2 linked regions of the Drosophila melanogaster genome follow. The protein of the gene in region 2 binds, or shares a complex with, the protein of the main gene of each other region. Each region holds a gene or a part of one and is shown on either strand. Other genes may lie near its edges. The genes, in order: Chrac-14 and Chrac-16. A codon is read from its position in the direction of its gene.

What was found.
Region 1: the proteins of Chrac-16 (region 2) and Chrac-14 are in contact, whole or in part, in a crystal structure (PDB 2BYM), measured with the Drosophila melanogaster proteins. Residues at the interface, in NP_001285148.1 of Drosophila melanogaster: Thr35 (codon at 3,569), Gly36 (codon at 3,572), Leu37 (codon at 3,575), Thr39 (codon at 3,581), Asn40 (codon at 3,584), Glu41 (codon at 3,587), Val42 (codon at 3,590), Phe44 (codon at 3,596), Leu45 (codon at 3,599), Met46 (codon at 3,602), Lys48 (codon at 3,608), Cys49 (codon at 3,611), Thr50 (codon at 3,614), Glu51 (codon at 3,617), Leu52 (codon at 3,620), Phe53 (codon at 3,623), Val54 (codon at 3,626), Arg55 (codon at 3,629), His56 (codon at 3,632), Leu57 (codon at 3,635), Ala58 (codon at 3,638), Gly59 (codon at 3,641), Tyr62 (codon at 3,650), Arg69 (codon at 3,671), Pro70 (codon at 3,674), Gly71 (codon at 3,677), Glu72 (codon at 3,680), Ala73 (codon at 3,683), Leu74 (codon at 3,686), Lys75 (codon at 3,689); in NP_476646.2 of Drosophila melanogaster: Ile15 (codon at 4,817), Leu18 (codon at 4,826), Ile19 (codon at 4,829), Glu21 (codon at 4,835), Ala22 (codon at 4,838), Leu23 (codon at 4,841), Pro24 (codon at 4,844), Glu25 (codon at 4,847), Ser26 (codon at 4,850), Ala27 (codon at 4,853), Ser28 (codon at 4,856), Val29 (codon at 4,859), Ser30 (codon at 4,862), Glu32 (codon at 4,868), Ala33 (codon at 4,871), Ala36 (codon at 4,880), Ile37 (codon at 4,883), Arg39 (codon at 4,889), Ala40 (codon at 4,892), Ala41 (codon at 4,895), Val43 (codon at 4,901), Phe44 (codon at 4,904), Ala45 (codon at 4,907), Phe47 (codon at 4,913), Val48 (codon at 4,916), Thr49 (codon at 4,919), Lys62 (codon at 4,958), Thr63 (codon at 4,961), Ile64 (codon at 4,964), Thr65 (codon at 4,967).

The regions. Positions count from the first base shown.
Region 1 is NT_033779.5:8,432,731-8,440,551, forward strand, and holds Chrac-14 (chromatin accessibility complex 14kD protein), read left to right. Parts: upstream 1-4,674; 5' UTR 4,675-4,774; coding exon 4,775-5,161; 3' UTR 5,162-5,266; downstream 5,267-7,821. Other genes in the region: grk (gurken), read right to left, coding at 283-352; D12, read right to left, coding at 1,479-3,497, 3,555-4,445; mus201 (mutagen-sensitive 201), read left to right, coding at 5,646-5,733, 5,797-5,972, 6,042-7,821. UniProt on the Drosophila melanogaster protein: Accessory component of the DNA polymerase epsilon complex. Participates in DNA repair and in chromosomal DNA replication. Histone-like protein which promotes nucleosome sliding of ATP-dependent nucleosome remodeling complexes.
Region 2 is NC_004354.4:12,013,620-12,021,339, reverse strand, and holds Chrac-16 (chromatin accessibility complex 16kD protein), read left to right. Parts: upstream 1-3,378; 5' UTR 3,379-3,466; coding exon 3,467-3,889; 3' UTR 3,890-4,115; downstream 4,116-7,720. Other genes in the region: Tango4 (transport and golgi organization 4), read right to left, coding at 1-2, 62-180; Lsm12a (LSM12 homolog a), read right to left, coding at 677-805, 1,202-1,333, 1,399-1,515, 1,582-1,712, 2,015-2,159; regucalcin, read right to left, coding at 4,369-4,561, 4,619-5,337, 5,774-5,821. UniProt on the Drosophila melanogaster protein: Histone-like protein which promotes nucleosome sliding of ATP-dependent nucleosome remodeling complexes. Part of the chromatin-accessibility complex (CHRAC) which uses energy/ATP to increase the general accessibility of DNA in chromatin.

The sequences.
Region 1 (7,821 bases), on a different chromosome or scaffold from region 2:
CAAAAAAATCTTTAGAAATAATTCACAAATATGTATATTATCTGAAGTTTACTTCATTCATCATCCACGAACAGAAAGCTAATACAGGATTTTACACAGTTTTCAAGGAAGTTTTAGTTTTTTAGCATAACAAGTATATAATCAGCACTGCAAATATTTTATGATTTGTTGTAGCTGTTTTCCAGTTTTTTCGACGCTAGAAATAGCTTTTTTTGTGGGAGAGCCTGGCAATACTGGCCGTAATATTGGAATCTAAAAATCAGGTGGAGATTATGTACGTACCTGTGACGGCGACAATTGTTGAGAGCACGAAAATTACTTTGAAAATCCGAGTAAATGGGATTTGCATCATTGGAAAACGCTTGGGGTGGCGCTCCGAAAAATATTGATTGGGTGGACCGATTGTCCACCACTAGGAAAACTGAGTCAATGAAGGGGTCTAAACGATCGAGGGATCGAGCGGCGTGCTGGCCGCAAATGCAATTTGGCGTCGCAACAGAAGCTGAAACATACTACACACTTGCATCTCCTTGTGGATTTTACTGCAAAATAAAAATAGAACATTTTAGCGCCTCCACATTTTCTGTCGCACGAACGCACACACACGAAACAAAAAAAAAAGGAAAAGAAATAGCATTCAAAATTGGTGATCCAAAAGCTTTTCATAGATTATCTTAGACGTACTGGAGCTGCTATATGGCCTGTAGAAGGCTTCGACATTATAATTATTATAATGACTCGTGAATCATTTTATATATCAGGCAAGTAATTAATTAGTTAATCTAAAGAGCAGCAAGCGCGGGAAGCGGGCTCTTCTCTGCTCCACTTTGATTTTAGGTCTTGTTGCGCGCACGTCGGAAAAGAGACTGAGGAAAACAGAGCCAGAGAAACAGATGGACCTCATCCCTACATTGGCGGCATTGGCATGCGCCATGAATGAAATCGATCGGTGAGCGGGGAGAGCGAAGAGAGCGCCCCCAAAAGAGATGCGATTGCGACCGATAATAGTCGAAGAATCATATGGATATGCTAAGAGCTGCAAAAAAAAACCGCCCTTTAACAGTTATTCAATTTGTTAACGGCACTTTTCACTGCATACTTCTAGGGCACTATAAAGATATATTACTCTGTGAAGATAGCTGATAAGACTTAAAAATGTTTACATGTTTCGTACAAATATGCAATTGTAGCGATTATTATTTATATTGATAAAACAATTTAAAAGTCTTCAGCCAGATATTCAAAATTTAAAAATTAATGACCACTCATCTCATGATTTCGTCCAAAATATGATAATCGTTGATAATTAAAAACGCAGTATTCATTTCTTCGGACATTAATTTAGTTAATTTATTGCTTAGATTTATGCTTACCAACGAGTACAAGGCTCTAATTAGATATCAACTAATATCCCAGTAGAATTTGAACTATGACGCGGACTTGATAAAAAATAAATTCAAAACAATGGCAACTGCACATTAGATTTGTGGTTCTATCGGAGCAACTCCCAAGTGACTGTTTCCGAGGAAATCCAATTCGGAACACAGACTGATGACACGGCCTATGTCCTGAGGTTGGAGACACAACGGAGCATTGGCCGCCGCCGGTGGCAACTGTTCCAAAGTCTCCTGTTGCAGTTTCGCCGCCAAGGAGCGGCGCACCAATTTCTCAATAAAAGTGCGCAGCACTTGTCCGAGCATCGAGAGAGCCAGTGGCTGGGAGACGCCAGGCGGAGATTCCTCCGGTTCCAGTGTGATATTAATGTCCTTGCACATTTCCTGGACCAGCTGCAAGGTCGAATCCAAGTGCTTCGGCGGAGGTAGATAAAGTAGTTGGCGATGATTCACCATTTGGAAAGATACATCTGCTGAGTTTGTTAACCTGGACGCAAGCGGATGAGGTTTGTCCACACCCAACACATCGATGAACTCCTTATCCCGCATCTGTTGATCATGACCAAGCAGACGATCGGATTGCTTGGTTATCCAAGCTTCCAGCCGATTGCCTGAGCTGAGACTGCTATAGGCCGACAGTTGCGGTTGGGGCTCGCCCTTTAGTTGCGCCTGAACACGCCGAGCCAGTTGCTCCTCATCGCTCAGTTTTTGTTTTCTCTTTTCATGCACGACAGGTAAAACATCTTTGAGAGCTGGCGTATAACCATGAACCCTGGCGAACGCCACTATCTCCCGTAAACTCCAGTAGTGTTCCTTTCCACTAATGTCCAACTTATGCAGCTCGTGGTGCTGCATCAGACAGCGACGGAGCATACGTGCGCGCAGGTACTCAAAGCAACGTTGTTTTAGAGCAGTGTGATTGTGGAACTCTTCGAGGGTTATACAAGTGAATGGATACTCCTTTTGCTGATCAATCGACGCAAGCGGGAGGCGGCTCAGCAGGAACTCCACAGCACTGCGCATATTTCGGAATTGTGCACTTCTAAAGATGTGCTCCAGCCTTCGGGGTCGCGATTGTATGGTAGTGTCCACAATTGGAGGTAACAGCATTGGCTTTTCCTCCATCTCGCCGCTCATGTTGGCGTACCCATGATCGTGCTGCATGCACTGCAGCATATGCCATCGCGTTTCTGACGGTGGCTTAAGAAGACTCAATTGTGGTTTCAGCAGGGATTGTTGCTTTGCAGCCTGCTTAAGCTTGCGCTGCAAGGGATCGATAATGTACAGCTTTCCTGCTCTCTGAAACACAACATTCTTCTTGCCCTGGTGATGGCCATTGGGCACAGGCTTTATTGGTGGCCGATCCGACGAGGATTCCTTCCACGCTCTCTGCGGAGATGCCGGTGGATAGTGCTTTACTGGCGAAAACTCCTGCCGCTGCCTTTCTGGCAAGGATTCCTGCCTAGGACTTCGGCCGTTTACTGGCAGATAGACCACAGAAGGCTTCGAAGCGGTGACCTGAGCCGCATTTAACCGAAGTTGAGTCCTAGGAGGCGATGACGGAGTGGGTGGCTGCTTTCTTGGACTGTAGTTTAACTTCAGGGGCTCTGAAACCAACACAGTTGGTTCAATTTTCTCAATGTCGTCGCTGAGTTCAATTTTGTTGATACCAGCAAACAGATTGTCATCAAGTTCCTCCTTATTTTGAGTGATTGAAATGGTGCGCGGTTTGCATGACTCTCCAGGAAAGGCGAAAACCGAAGGCTCTAAAACATTCGGAGCAGCCAGAGGTGGAGCAGGAACTGCAGTCTCCTGTTCATGGGGAGGATGAGGTTTGCCGCTTTTCTGTTTCGTTATCGCCTGTTTTGCTCTCAGCCATATTTCCACAGTGGTCTCTGCGCCCATCGTGTGCAGTCCACACATTGTTTTATCCAGCACCACCGTGTGCATTAGTTGCACGGGTTTCTGCTGCAAGTGCTCTTGGAAAAATAGCTGGATGCGCATCGGAAACTCGCCCCAACCATGTCGGTTAAGCTGAAACGGAGACCTGTGCACGTCCACGATGTCGTTTGGGCGGTATGACGGATGGAGGTGGAAGCGCACCTAGAATTGCGAAGAAGAGATTGAATCACTCCGTACGTGCTTATGGGAATTACTTACCTTTTTAATGTATTTTTCAAGTGGTTCAGGTAGATCTTTGCCTTGCACATAGACCAACCACTTATAGGTCAAAGCATTCCCACCTGTGCCATTCTCTCGAGAGTCTTCGCCAATGTATTTGGAAGTATTACCCACCACGAAGTTGAATTTGTTCTTGTTATTCAGCCGCGAGGCATTCAGCTCCACTTGCCTTTCGTGGGCCTGTCGGCTGGTGCACGGCTGCTCGTCCTCCAACTTAACGGAAATGGGAGGTTCCTGCTCTGGCTGATCTTTTTTGTCCTTGGAGTGATCGGTTACGATGCCCTGCTCCTTGATCTTCTGTTGCCGCCTTCGTTCCGCCCGACGATGAGCCGGATTCCTCAGTCGGATGGTTTCTTTGGCCAAGGTGGCCGCCGTGCGCTCTGGCAAATGATTTTGGATGACAACAGGGCGCTTGCCAACGATTTTTTTAATGGCTGGATGCAGTGGCAGCTGCGGAGCGGCTATGTCGTCCCCAAAAAGGCTGTCGCCGCGCACTTTCGCAATATCCGCGCCGGTGAGGGGGACCTGCTGCTTTCGGTAATATTCGCTGACCACCTGATAGCGTAGTCTGTCCAACAGTTGTCGTCCTTGCAGCAGTCGTCGGTCGATCTCGGCCAGCTGCTCGACCTTCTGAGAGATTTCGCGCTGGAACTCCAGACGAAGCAGCTCCCGGATGCGCTGAAATTTGTCGGACAACGGCAGCATGCCATCCGACTGTTCCGTCTTGGTCCACTTTCTTTGACCGGGCGACTCGGCTTCTGCGCAGGTTTCTTCCTCATCCTGGCTAGAAACTTCCGTTTGCTGATAATCTGGATCGTGGTACTCGCTGTGCCTGCGTTTTTTTGGCGGCGTCGCTTGTTGCTGGTCCATGTGCGTGGTAGCTGGCACACGCACAGGACTTGTATCACGTTAGTTCGGAGGGGAACAGCTTCAAGTTTGGCCCGAATCGCTCCGTGCACATTTAGGCCGGGGTAATTGGCTGTTATTTATAAAAATGTGTAAACAATTGATGCGAACGAGGCGGCGCAAACAGAATTGAGTGGGGGAGTTGCCACATCGCTGGTGTAGATGCGTGCACGCTGGCCTTGTCCAACACTGTTCAGCCAGCTGTTTACTCTTTACGCGGGAAGCAAAGACGCCGAAATCTAGACGGAAAATCAAAAGTGCCCACCAAGTAAAAGCAGATAAGCAGCAGCAAAATGGTCGAGCGCATCGAGGATCTTAACCTGCCGAATGCCGTGATTGGCCGGCTCATCAAGGAAGCACTGCCGGAGTCAGCTAGTGTCAGCAAGGAAGCGCGAGCAGCGATCGCCCGAGCGGCATCTGTGTTTGCCATCTTCGTGACATCCTCGTCGACGGCGTTGGCCCACAAGCAGAACCACAAGACCATCACGGCCAAGGATATTCTACAGACCCTCACCGAGCTAGACTTCGAAAGCTTCGTGCCCTCTCTGACGCAGGATCTCGAGGTCTATCGTAAAGTGGTCAAGGAGAAAAAGGAGAGCAAGGCCAGCAAGAAGGATTCCAACACTGCCGAAAATGCCAACGCCAGTGCCACCGCAACAGCAGAGGAAGCCCCCGAGTGATTACGAATAGGAGAAACTATACGGATCAATTATCCTCTTCAGTCATTAAGAACAAAGCTAGTATTGAGCATTAACAAAAAACATTAAACATAGGCATTATCTAAGAACTTCACTTGTGTTTTGTCACTTTCCTCAAAGACTAAATTATGTTGTTAGTCAACGTTTACATGGGATTAATTTGGGATTGTAAGTGACGGTTGGAATTACACCCTTAAATAATGCCGCATTTCAATCCAGTCCGATCTAGTTTTTTACGCCTTCATTCAAAGTATATAAAGGTGTCAGAATAATATTTAAGTATTTCAGTAATTATTTGTTTATATATGTGATCAGAAAATCACTGTTTTAAAAATCATCCAGATAGATAACCGCGTGTTCTTTCCAGCACTGGAAACAGCTGTTTAAAAAAGCGCGTCTTATCGCAACAAAAAGTTTAGTTAGTTATTATTTTGCATGTTTTATACAATTAATATTTTAGTAGAAAATGGGAGTTACGGGCTTGTGGAAGCTCATTGAGCCGTGCGGCAAGCCAGTCCCCGTAGAGACTTTGGAGGGCAAAATCCTAGCAGTGGGTAAGCATCGTTTTTCGCCACCTAATGAAATACTTGCTGATTGGAGTACTTTTCGTCCTGCAGATATATCGATTTGGTTGCATCAGGTTGTGAAGGGCTTTCAGGACAACAAGGGATCGGCCCTGAGTAATGCCCATTTACTGGGTCTATTCCATCGTCTCTGTAAATTGCTATACTATCGTGTGCGACCGGTTTTCATTTTCGATGGATGCGTGCCGCAGCTTAAAAGGGACACTATTGTGAGTTATAATAGGGGAATATATCAAATTCACTCTCTAAATTAAATCCTCTTTATGTCACCCCTTCAGGCACGTCGCCAGCAGCAGAGGAATAAGCTCAGCAACGAAGCTGATCGCATTCAGGCTTTGCTCCTTCAATCCCTGGCCAAAGAAAAAGTAGTGCAGCAAGCGCTGGGCAAGAATGCAGAGCTACTGTTGAAATCCCCGGTTAAGCGACCGCCTCCAGCTAAGAAGAACGACGAGGATGACTTGTTTAAGCTTCCCGAACTGCCGGCTGCATCGGTGCAAGATAATCAAGATGAAAGCGAGCAGGACACCAGTGCCAGTGCCTCAGACAGCTCCTTTGACGAGTCAACCGCTCGACATTCTTACAACTCTAGCTTACAGGCCATCGATGTAAAGAGTCAGCATTTTCGGAATCTGCCAGCCGATGTGCGACACGAGATCCTTACAGACATCAAGGAGACGCGCAAGCAATCGTCGTGGGGCCGTCTGCACGAGTTGCCCGCCCGCAGCGATGACTTCTGCTCCTTCCAGATGAAGAGACTCCTCAAGCGCCGAGCCGTTCAGGAAAGCTTAGAGCAGGCGGAACAGGAGATGGGCGGACATACGCTTACCTATGCAGAGTTGTGTGACTTTTTCAATGAGGAGGGCATTCTCACCCCAACGGCCATTGAACAGTGCACCCGACAAATTAGCTCGGATGAACATACACGATTCCTGCTGGTCAGGGATCTTAAAAAGAAAGCAATGGAGAGCACCAAACAAGAGGTTAAAATGGAGATGATTGAGGAGGTACCCGCTGAGGAGGAGGATGAGAAGCCAAGCACTTCCACCAAGAAAGAGGCTGTGAAAAGTGTGGACCTAGGCACAGAGTTCGATGAAGATTTGGCCAAAGCACTGTCTATGTCAATGGAGGAGACCAAGGTGTACGATGAAAAGGACTACGAGTACGACTCGGACCAAGAGTTGCGCCTCAATCGAGCTCAAACCAAGCAATTGCGCCATGCGGCCAAGGGACCTGCACGGGCCTATATGATTGAATACGGCGGAATGAACGACGAGGAAGTTGGCAACATCATGGAGGCCACTCAGTTCAATGACACTCAAAGCCTTGAAAAGTTGCTAGAGATCACGACAGTCCCGACCGACATGGCTGACAACTCGATTGAGGAGGCCAAACTTATTTCACAAGCTATTGAAGAGAGCAAACAACTATCCCAAGCAATTGAGGAAAGCAAGAAGAATCTTAACGAGGACAAGGTGGAGATTGTAGATACTGATACCGACTCAGACTTGGAGGAAGTAATGGAAGTTCAGGAGCTGGATAAAGGCAAGAAGAATCTTGAGATTTGTGTTGATATTACTGGCCAAGCGGATTCGAATGATCTGTTTGCGGATATTTTTGAGGATGGAGAGGCAAATAAAATAGAGAAAACTATAAGCGTCGAGGAAGACGATGACTTTATAGAAGTGAAAGACAGTGAGGAATTAAAATTGGATACTGAAGATGAAAATAAACCAATAACGAATAAGAGTATTAAAGAAAGTAATGAAGTCAAGCCGTTCATTGATGAAATTATCGAAGTGAAAGATAGCCAAGAAGCGGTTCCTGCAGAACCTAATCTCAAACCCGATCTGGAATCAATTTTAAATGATCTGAAAAAACAAACGGCTGCGGTTAAAGATATTCAGCTAAACGTAAATGAAGAAGAAAAACCAAAACCAAAGGTGGAAATCAGTTCTATATTGGATGAGCTAAAAGTAAAGATGGCCGACGTTAAAAACATCACTCTAGATAACGTGAAATTAAGCAATAGTGTCCCTATCATACTATCCTCCGATGACG
Region 2 (7,720 bases):
CTCTGTTTAACGAAAAACACAAATTAACAATGCGTAAGTTGCAAACTACAGGTATACTCACAAACGTTCGTCGATTTCGGGCAGATTTCCCTGGTTGGAGACGAACAGATCGTGGGTGCGCTTCAGGGAGCGGAATATCAGCGTGTGCACGCTGTGCTTCTGCACGTCTTCCATGGCCATTGTCTGTTATTTATTGCTTATTCGCTAAATTTGTTAAAAACGCGGCGCGGCTCTTGCAGCTGACCACCACAAGCCATACATAACAATCGGGCTATCGGTTATCGGACAGTGATGTCTGCTAGCTTGTTTATAGCCAAATGTTAATGCTACATGGGCATCCATTTTTAAAAGAAGTTTTATTAAAATTTTAAATGTATTTAAATGCAAATATCTAATATCTAATTGAAATTGTGTAATTGAATTATCTAATAATTAGAAAAAAATGATTTAACTTTTCACAACCTTAAGTCGAGATGAGAAATTGTGGGTCCTGAATTCAAAGTACCATAAAAGCCACAAAAACTGATAGTTTTTTCAGAATCGTTTTTCGAATACCCATCAAAGTGTTAACTTTATGCGCCCACCCGAGAGATTAAAAAACCAATACGTTGTTCTTTTTTGAAGCACATTTCTGTTTTTTTGTTTTGTTTTGTTTGTGTTTTTTTTCTGCTTATTATTAGTTTGCGGGAACCGGCGATCCAGATGCAAGAGATGAGGACGTGGGAGACACCGATGGTGACGAGGTGCTGGCCGCAGCTCCGCTTTCCGGGACGGGCGATGGCCTCGTGTTGAAGAACTGTTTGATCTGCAGATAAAAGATGGAGTAAAGATTAACCTATGAACTTAAAAACACCGACCACACCAGCCACAATTCTGTCATAAAGCATTATTTTTTTTTACCGCAACTTTGCGCATTTGTATGTTTATATCAGAATGATAAAATGCTTAATACTGTTTCTAATCAAACCCTAAACCACATTGGGAAGTACTTGAAATATTTAGGACTATCTTGACATATGAATAACCTATAAACATTAGCGAATCTAGAATGTTCTGAACATTAATTCAACTAAATCGTTGTTTGAGCCATTGCGTTGGGTTTAAGTTACAATGGTTTGCTAGTCTGATTAAAGATTTAACGAACTTCATTTCGGATTTATGACAGTTTGCTTGAAGGTGCTGCGGTTGGGCAATTGCTTACGATGCGCTTGATGTAGTTGCATGAAGTTTCGTTGTTCGAGCTGGACACCACGTTGTCCACTCGGTACGGCGGCGAGATGGTGACTTCATTTAGGATCTGTATGTTAAGTCCTTGCCAGGAGACTTCATTGTACTACAAAATAGTAAAAGAAATAGCAATGGTTAATGATGATAGGGCATCGTGCAAGAGGTCATTACCCCGTATTGTTTGGCTATCGCTCTATAGAGTTCCTGCGCCTCTGGACTGACATCAGCATTCTTAGACTTCAAGTAGTCCTGTCTTCGCTCAACTGTTTTCCTCAGACGCATTTTGACCTGTATAAGCAATATATATATATATATATATATATTTATGTAAGTGGTCAGAGCTGGCATGCTTACCTGTTCCAGATTAAGCTTTTGCGGATCATCAAAGTTGCCGTTGCACTCCTTGATCACCTGCACGTTGCTGCAGAGCGAGAGGTTCATCGCGTAGATATCACTCAGCTCCTCCGTGGACTTGGATCGGCATTCTATGCGGTTGGAAAGGGAAGAGAAGAGCAGGAACGGGGGGCAAAGATATACGATGTACGGAGAACCAAATTGTCAAGCAGTAAACAATGGGTTTGATAAGAGATAGGTGATATGTGAATGCTATCAGTTAAGATGAGTGTGAATTAGAATTATATACGAATCTAAAGGACAGTGTGACTTTTTGTCCAGACAGCTCAAGAGATCCCTGTGGACAGCCGGAGAAAGTGCTCGCTTTCACCCGGCGGGCAAGTTGTGTGTGTGTGTGGGTATGCATTTCGGGGATTTCGTTGCAAAAGGATACTCAGGATAAGCATCTTTGTGTTGTGATCGAAGGCCAGCACCTCGCCCTCCACCTCCTCGTTGAAACAGGTCGTACAGACGACTGTGGATCCGATGCTGAAGCAGTCGTTCACTGCATTCACTGCGCTCGCAGCGGCAGCGGCCATTTTTAATTGCTGGTTGAGATTGGCCAACTGGAAAAGTGCACCCACAAGCTATGTGGATAGGGGATTCGAATCTAGATCTAAATGTCGATACTGGTTTGTTGGCACGCCGTTGCTTGAACAACGTTTCACAAACAGCGATGGTGATGATGTTGATGATTTTGCGGCAGCAGCAGCTGTTTTGGATGCTTGAATTCCTGGAATTCTCGAAAGGATTTAACTAGCTCTCTCGCTCGCTCTCACTCTCGCCGTCTGTCTGTCTCGTTCTCTCGTGCCGTGCAGCTCACTCGCTTTCACTTGAACCGCTCTAATGGAAATGTCGCTTCCTGGCGATCTGGTCGAGATCCTGCTCCTGCTTCCACTGCCCCTGATCGTCGCGTGAATTGGCCAAAAACTCGCTGGTTACTCGCTCGACTAGCTATCGGCTATCTATTTTGGCGGCAATTGCGGTTCGGTAATTGAAAAGTTGGAAAAGTACGCGAAAAATTTATTGGTCAACACACGAAACAACAGCCAAAAGGGGGCAGCAGAAAACGCAGTGTTGCACATGCCGCGCAGCGATAGGTTCGATAGTCATCGATTACGGAAGTCTGGCAACGTTGCTGCAAACAAATCAAGTGCAATAATAATTTATTGATATTTATTTATATGTGAGTTCGAAAATGAAGACAGATTTTTAAGCTATAAGTGTGAAAATCCAAAGTTGATTGCATACTGAAAAGACAAAAGTAGATAATATTGACTTGTCTAAATGTTGTTGCAATTGAATGTTTCCTTATAAATCGTGCAGATCCTAATCGTTTTACCCCTAATCTCTTGATTAAGTTAAAGGTATTTGCTTAGAGCGGTTTTTCCACTAATAAATTGAAATATTTGGAAAACTTTTATTAAATACTTGTTGTGGCTACCGATAGCATATCGGCGCAACGTTATTTGGTTAAATTCCCGCTCCAGCTAGAGCTGAAAGTATAGGCAAATCCGAATGGGTTTCTCAATTTTTATATATTTAGCGCTATAACTTAATTCTGAGAAAGTAACACATATATTATTGTGCACATCCAATTCCTTGCAAAAATAGAAGTATGCCAGCATTGTTCGTTTTAAGGGAAGCCCTGCGGTTACTTATTTTAAGTCTTCATAAACCATAACCATCGATAGCAAATAAAAAAAAAGAATCGATAGTGTCTCAGAAAGGTACGAATTTCATGCCTCGATTGTAACATCGATAGTTTCACAGCTCCACTTGTGAGCCCAGCTCTAAAACCAAAAAAATTCCCAAGCCATAGTTTGCTTGGGAATTAAGTAAACAAATGGGCGAACCAAGGAGCCAACCACCCGTGGAGCGTCCACCGACCGCGGAAACCTTTCTGCCCCTCAGCCGCGTGCGAACGATCATGAAGAGCTCCATGGACACGGGCTTGATCACCAACGAGGTGCTCTTCCTGATGACCAAGTGCACGGAGCTATTCGTTCGCCATTTGGCGGGCGCGGCATACACGGAGGAATTCGGCCAGCGACCGGGCGAAGCGCTCAAGTACGAGCATCTCTCCCAGGTGGTCAATAAGAACAAGAATCTGGAGTTTCTGCTGCAGATCGTGCCGCAAAAGATCCGTGTACACCAGTTCCAGGAGATGCTGCGGCTAAATCGCTCCGCCGGCAGCGACGACGACGATGACGACGACGATGATGACGATGAAGAAGAGTCCGAATCGGAATCGGAGTCTGATGAATAGACGGTCATGCAGATGTTTATCTACACCGAAATTGAGTGGATGATCTCCATTCACCAAAACATCGACTGATTTTTTACGCCACCTTGCTATCTTTAATTTTAGACTAGACGATAAGTATAAAATTGTTTATAGAACCACTGATTAATAAAGAAGCATAAGAGCACTGCGTCCTCCAAATGACCATAAGATCCGCGGATGATTACCGTGTGTCTGCGGCTGATAAGATTGTTGTTTGAAATCAGAGTAAAGTAGAGCATAGTCAACCTCTTTGTGAGTTTACATGATGATCCTGGATATTCCCAGGAGAGAATGTGATCCTTAAGCTGACCTTGAACTAGAACTGCAAAAAAGGATAACCTAACTAGCATGCAAAACATTGATAGACGCGATTTAAAACGTTAAAGAGCATAACATATAATTGCACTTGGATTCGATTGGTACATTTTACTGCGGCTAAGGATAGATAGAGATTGCAGCTCCTAGACCTTCAGGTTGACGCCGGGATAGCCGGTGGCGTTCAGTCCGGTCACCTTGTAGGTGGTGCCAGCTGGAGCGGGCTGATCGAACTTGGCGGCAGTGGTCACGTACAGGATGTCCAAGTTGGGGCCACCGAAGGCGGCGGAGGTAATCTGTTTGGTTGGGAACTTGATCTCAAGCAGAATCTTGCCAGTGCTGCAATGAAGTACGACATTTAACACTCGATCACGAATGTTAGAGTGAACTACTCACTTGGGATTAACCTTGTAGATGGTGGCGCCATTGAAGGTGGCCACATACAGGTTGCCCTCGGTATCGATGGTCAGGCCATCGGGCAGCAGATGATCCTTGGGACTATTCTTGCGCAGATTGAATATAACCTTGGGATTGCTAGCCACGCCGGTCTCGAAATCATAGTCATACGACTTCACCTCGTAGTCGGTGGTATCGATGTAGTAGAACTTCTTGGCCTTCTCGTCCCATGCCAGTCCATTGGAGATGCCCACATCGCCCTTGATCACCGACACCTGGCCACCGGCCTCCCAGCGGTACAGCTCGCCGTGACGGAACTCGAACTCATCGCCAATGTAGCGCATGGTGCCGCCAAAGAAGCGACCACGGGGATCAACCTTGGCGTCGTTCAAACGATTCTTCTCCATCAGTGGCTGCACCTCGAACAGTGTGCGCACCACCTTGGCGCTGGGCGAGACGCCATCCCAGTTGACGATCACCACGCGTCGACCGCAGCCGACGGCGAATTCCTGCGGACGTCCCTCCACCGGCAGCACGAATCCGGCCAAGGTTTCGCCCTCGATCTTTGTCTTGTAGACCTTGTTCTGCGCATAGTCGTAGCGGAGCAGGCTGCCTGCCTCCAAATCCACGTAGTACAGGCTCTGCCTGGCCACATCCCAATGGGGACCCTCGCCCAGGCCGGCGTAGGAATCGGGCAATGGTTCCACCTTGTACGACATCTGTTGGCGAAATTGGGAACAACCGATTTGCGATTAGTGCATCTAATTGATTTTATATGGATTTATAGTGGATATAAAGTGGCATTTGGAATGCATTATAGCACTTCATGGTTATCATTATCATGGTTGCCATTTTAATTAGATTTTAAATTGAATTAAACAATTAAGAAGTACAGAGAATTCGAATTTAGATGTAGGATTAAATCAGAAAATTACGCACAAAAGCGAAAAACTAATAATTCAAACTGTCAACATTGCGATAAAATAGAATTATCAGGATAATTTATATGCGAGCAATGAGCAATTAAATTAATCATTTAATTTAATTTAAATATTCATTTAAATATGCGATTTTTTGTAGAGTTTCAAACACTTGACTTTCGTAACACTTTTTTTCTTCAATTTCTTTAGTTGGTCCTACTTATAGACGCAGTACCGTTAGGCCGAAAAGGCACACTGCAATCACGGGAATCAGTAACATCATCTTGCGCTCGTTGGCTCCGAATCCAAACTGAGCCCAAAGCCATCGCTCGGAGTTGCTTTTATTACCTCCAGACCAGGGGCTTGACATTACTGGCTGAGAATCGGCGGCATCGTCATCATCGCAAGCGGAACACAATGCGAGATTATTTATTTACTTCCATTTCCATGTTTTAAGTTCAATTTTTCCAAAGGCCGACGGTGGAGCACAATGGAGTTTTTTTTTTTCGATTGTAACATATGCCACTTTCCGGTTTTATATTTTTAATCAATTTAGTAAAAAGTATTTCCAATTTAAATACATACAATTAACATGTTTTTTTCTGTATGCAAAGCTACAATTTTTCGTTAGCTTTATCGAGCAATGGTTCCACTGTGCGTTGCAGCTGTGCTCTTGTGACGTCATGCCCTTCACTTACACTCACATACTCAACAAAAGCAAAAGCAACAACAACAACAACAACAGATGCTGCGATTAACTTTTAAGTTTGATTGCGCCTGGCATTTAGCGATTTTTAATTGACTTTTGTTGTCATTCGGCTGCTGTTATTGAATTGGTCAAGTGGAGACCTTAAAGAGATGCTCACTGGCAGGCACTTCTGTTATCGGACACATGTAGAGGGCACAGTGGGGCAAGAGCGTTCGAAAATGCCAAATTCACAAGTAGCTGCTCAGATGTGTGGAGCATGTGAAAATAATTGAGTACTTAATCCGTGCTGAAGTCTCTCATTTCGAAATTTTTTTAATACAAAAAAAAAAAAAAAATTTAAAAAAAAAGGGAAAAAGTTTTTGAATAGCACATTTAATAGAAGGAAAATATTCGAGCTATATTTTTTACCAAATTTAAATTTAATTTGTGCAAGCTCATAAATTTCTATTTAATTTTAATAATGCTTCCGTTTTTTCGAAAAAGTCTTCAGTATAAACTATGCCTTCTTTTTCGCATCACTTTAACACACTTGAAAAAAAAAAACGGGGAACGCTTGCAGGAGAGCACCTACCTTGGAGATAGCTTAAGCTTGAGCTGAGAGATGGGGAATCGAGAATAGAGAATCGAGAATCCTTGGACACGGCTCCGTTGAGTAGCGCGTTCAAACTGAATGCCACCCGATCCGGCCCAATTCTTATATACCCCAGCTGGCACGGGCGTGACACACAATCTCGCCAAAACCTCCTCCACCTCCACCTCCTCTACTCCGCCTCCACCTTCACCTCCTCCTCCTTCGCCCACTGATAAGCGGAGAATTGGAGGGCTGGATAGCCCGGCCTGATAACAGAGCAACAGAAGTCGCCAACGGGCAAATTAACCCGATGGCAAATTGCAAAAAAAAAAATATTCCAAAACAGATTGCGAAAGTGCAGCATTACAGTTTTGAAAAGCGTAATGAGAAGTTTTCGAGTTTAAGCAGCTCAAAGTTTGAACACTTTTTGAACAGAAAACAGAAACTGAAGCCTAAATGTTAGGAAATGATTTTCAGAATAATTAGGCTCCCTAAATTTATAAAAGTATCTTAGTAATAATGAAAAATGAAATTTTCAAACCAAATTTAACCTGTGTGTTTTTAAGTGCAACATTAAGATTAAACTAACTAATCAACTTCAATTTTCAGCTGGCTAAACTTAACTTTTCACCTGACTTTAACTAATCATAAAACTGAAACTTAAGCTGAGCAGATTTAGTAAAAGTTATGGGGTTAATTTCTACAATAATAAATGCACAGGAGTGGGCGAGTGGCGATAAATTTAAATTTAAATTTTAAACTTGAAACTTTCTCAATGTTTCTCATTTCTTGAGCGCATTTCTATGCTTCCGCTGGACGAGAGATAAGTTGCAGCTCGGCGGCGATAAATCGCATCTGAGCCACTGTGCCAAAGTGCCAAAGGATGGATCTCCAAGTACATG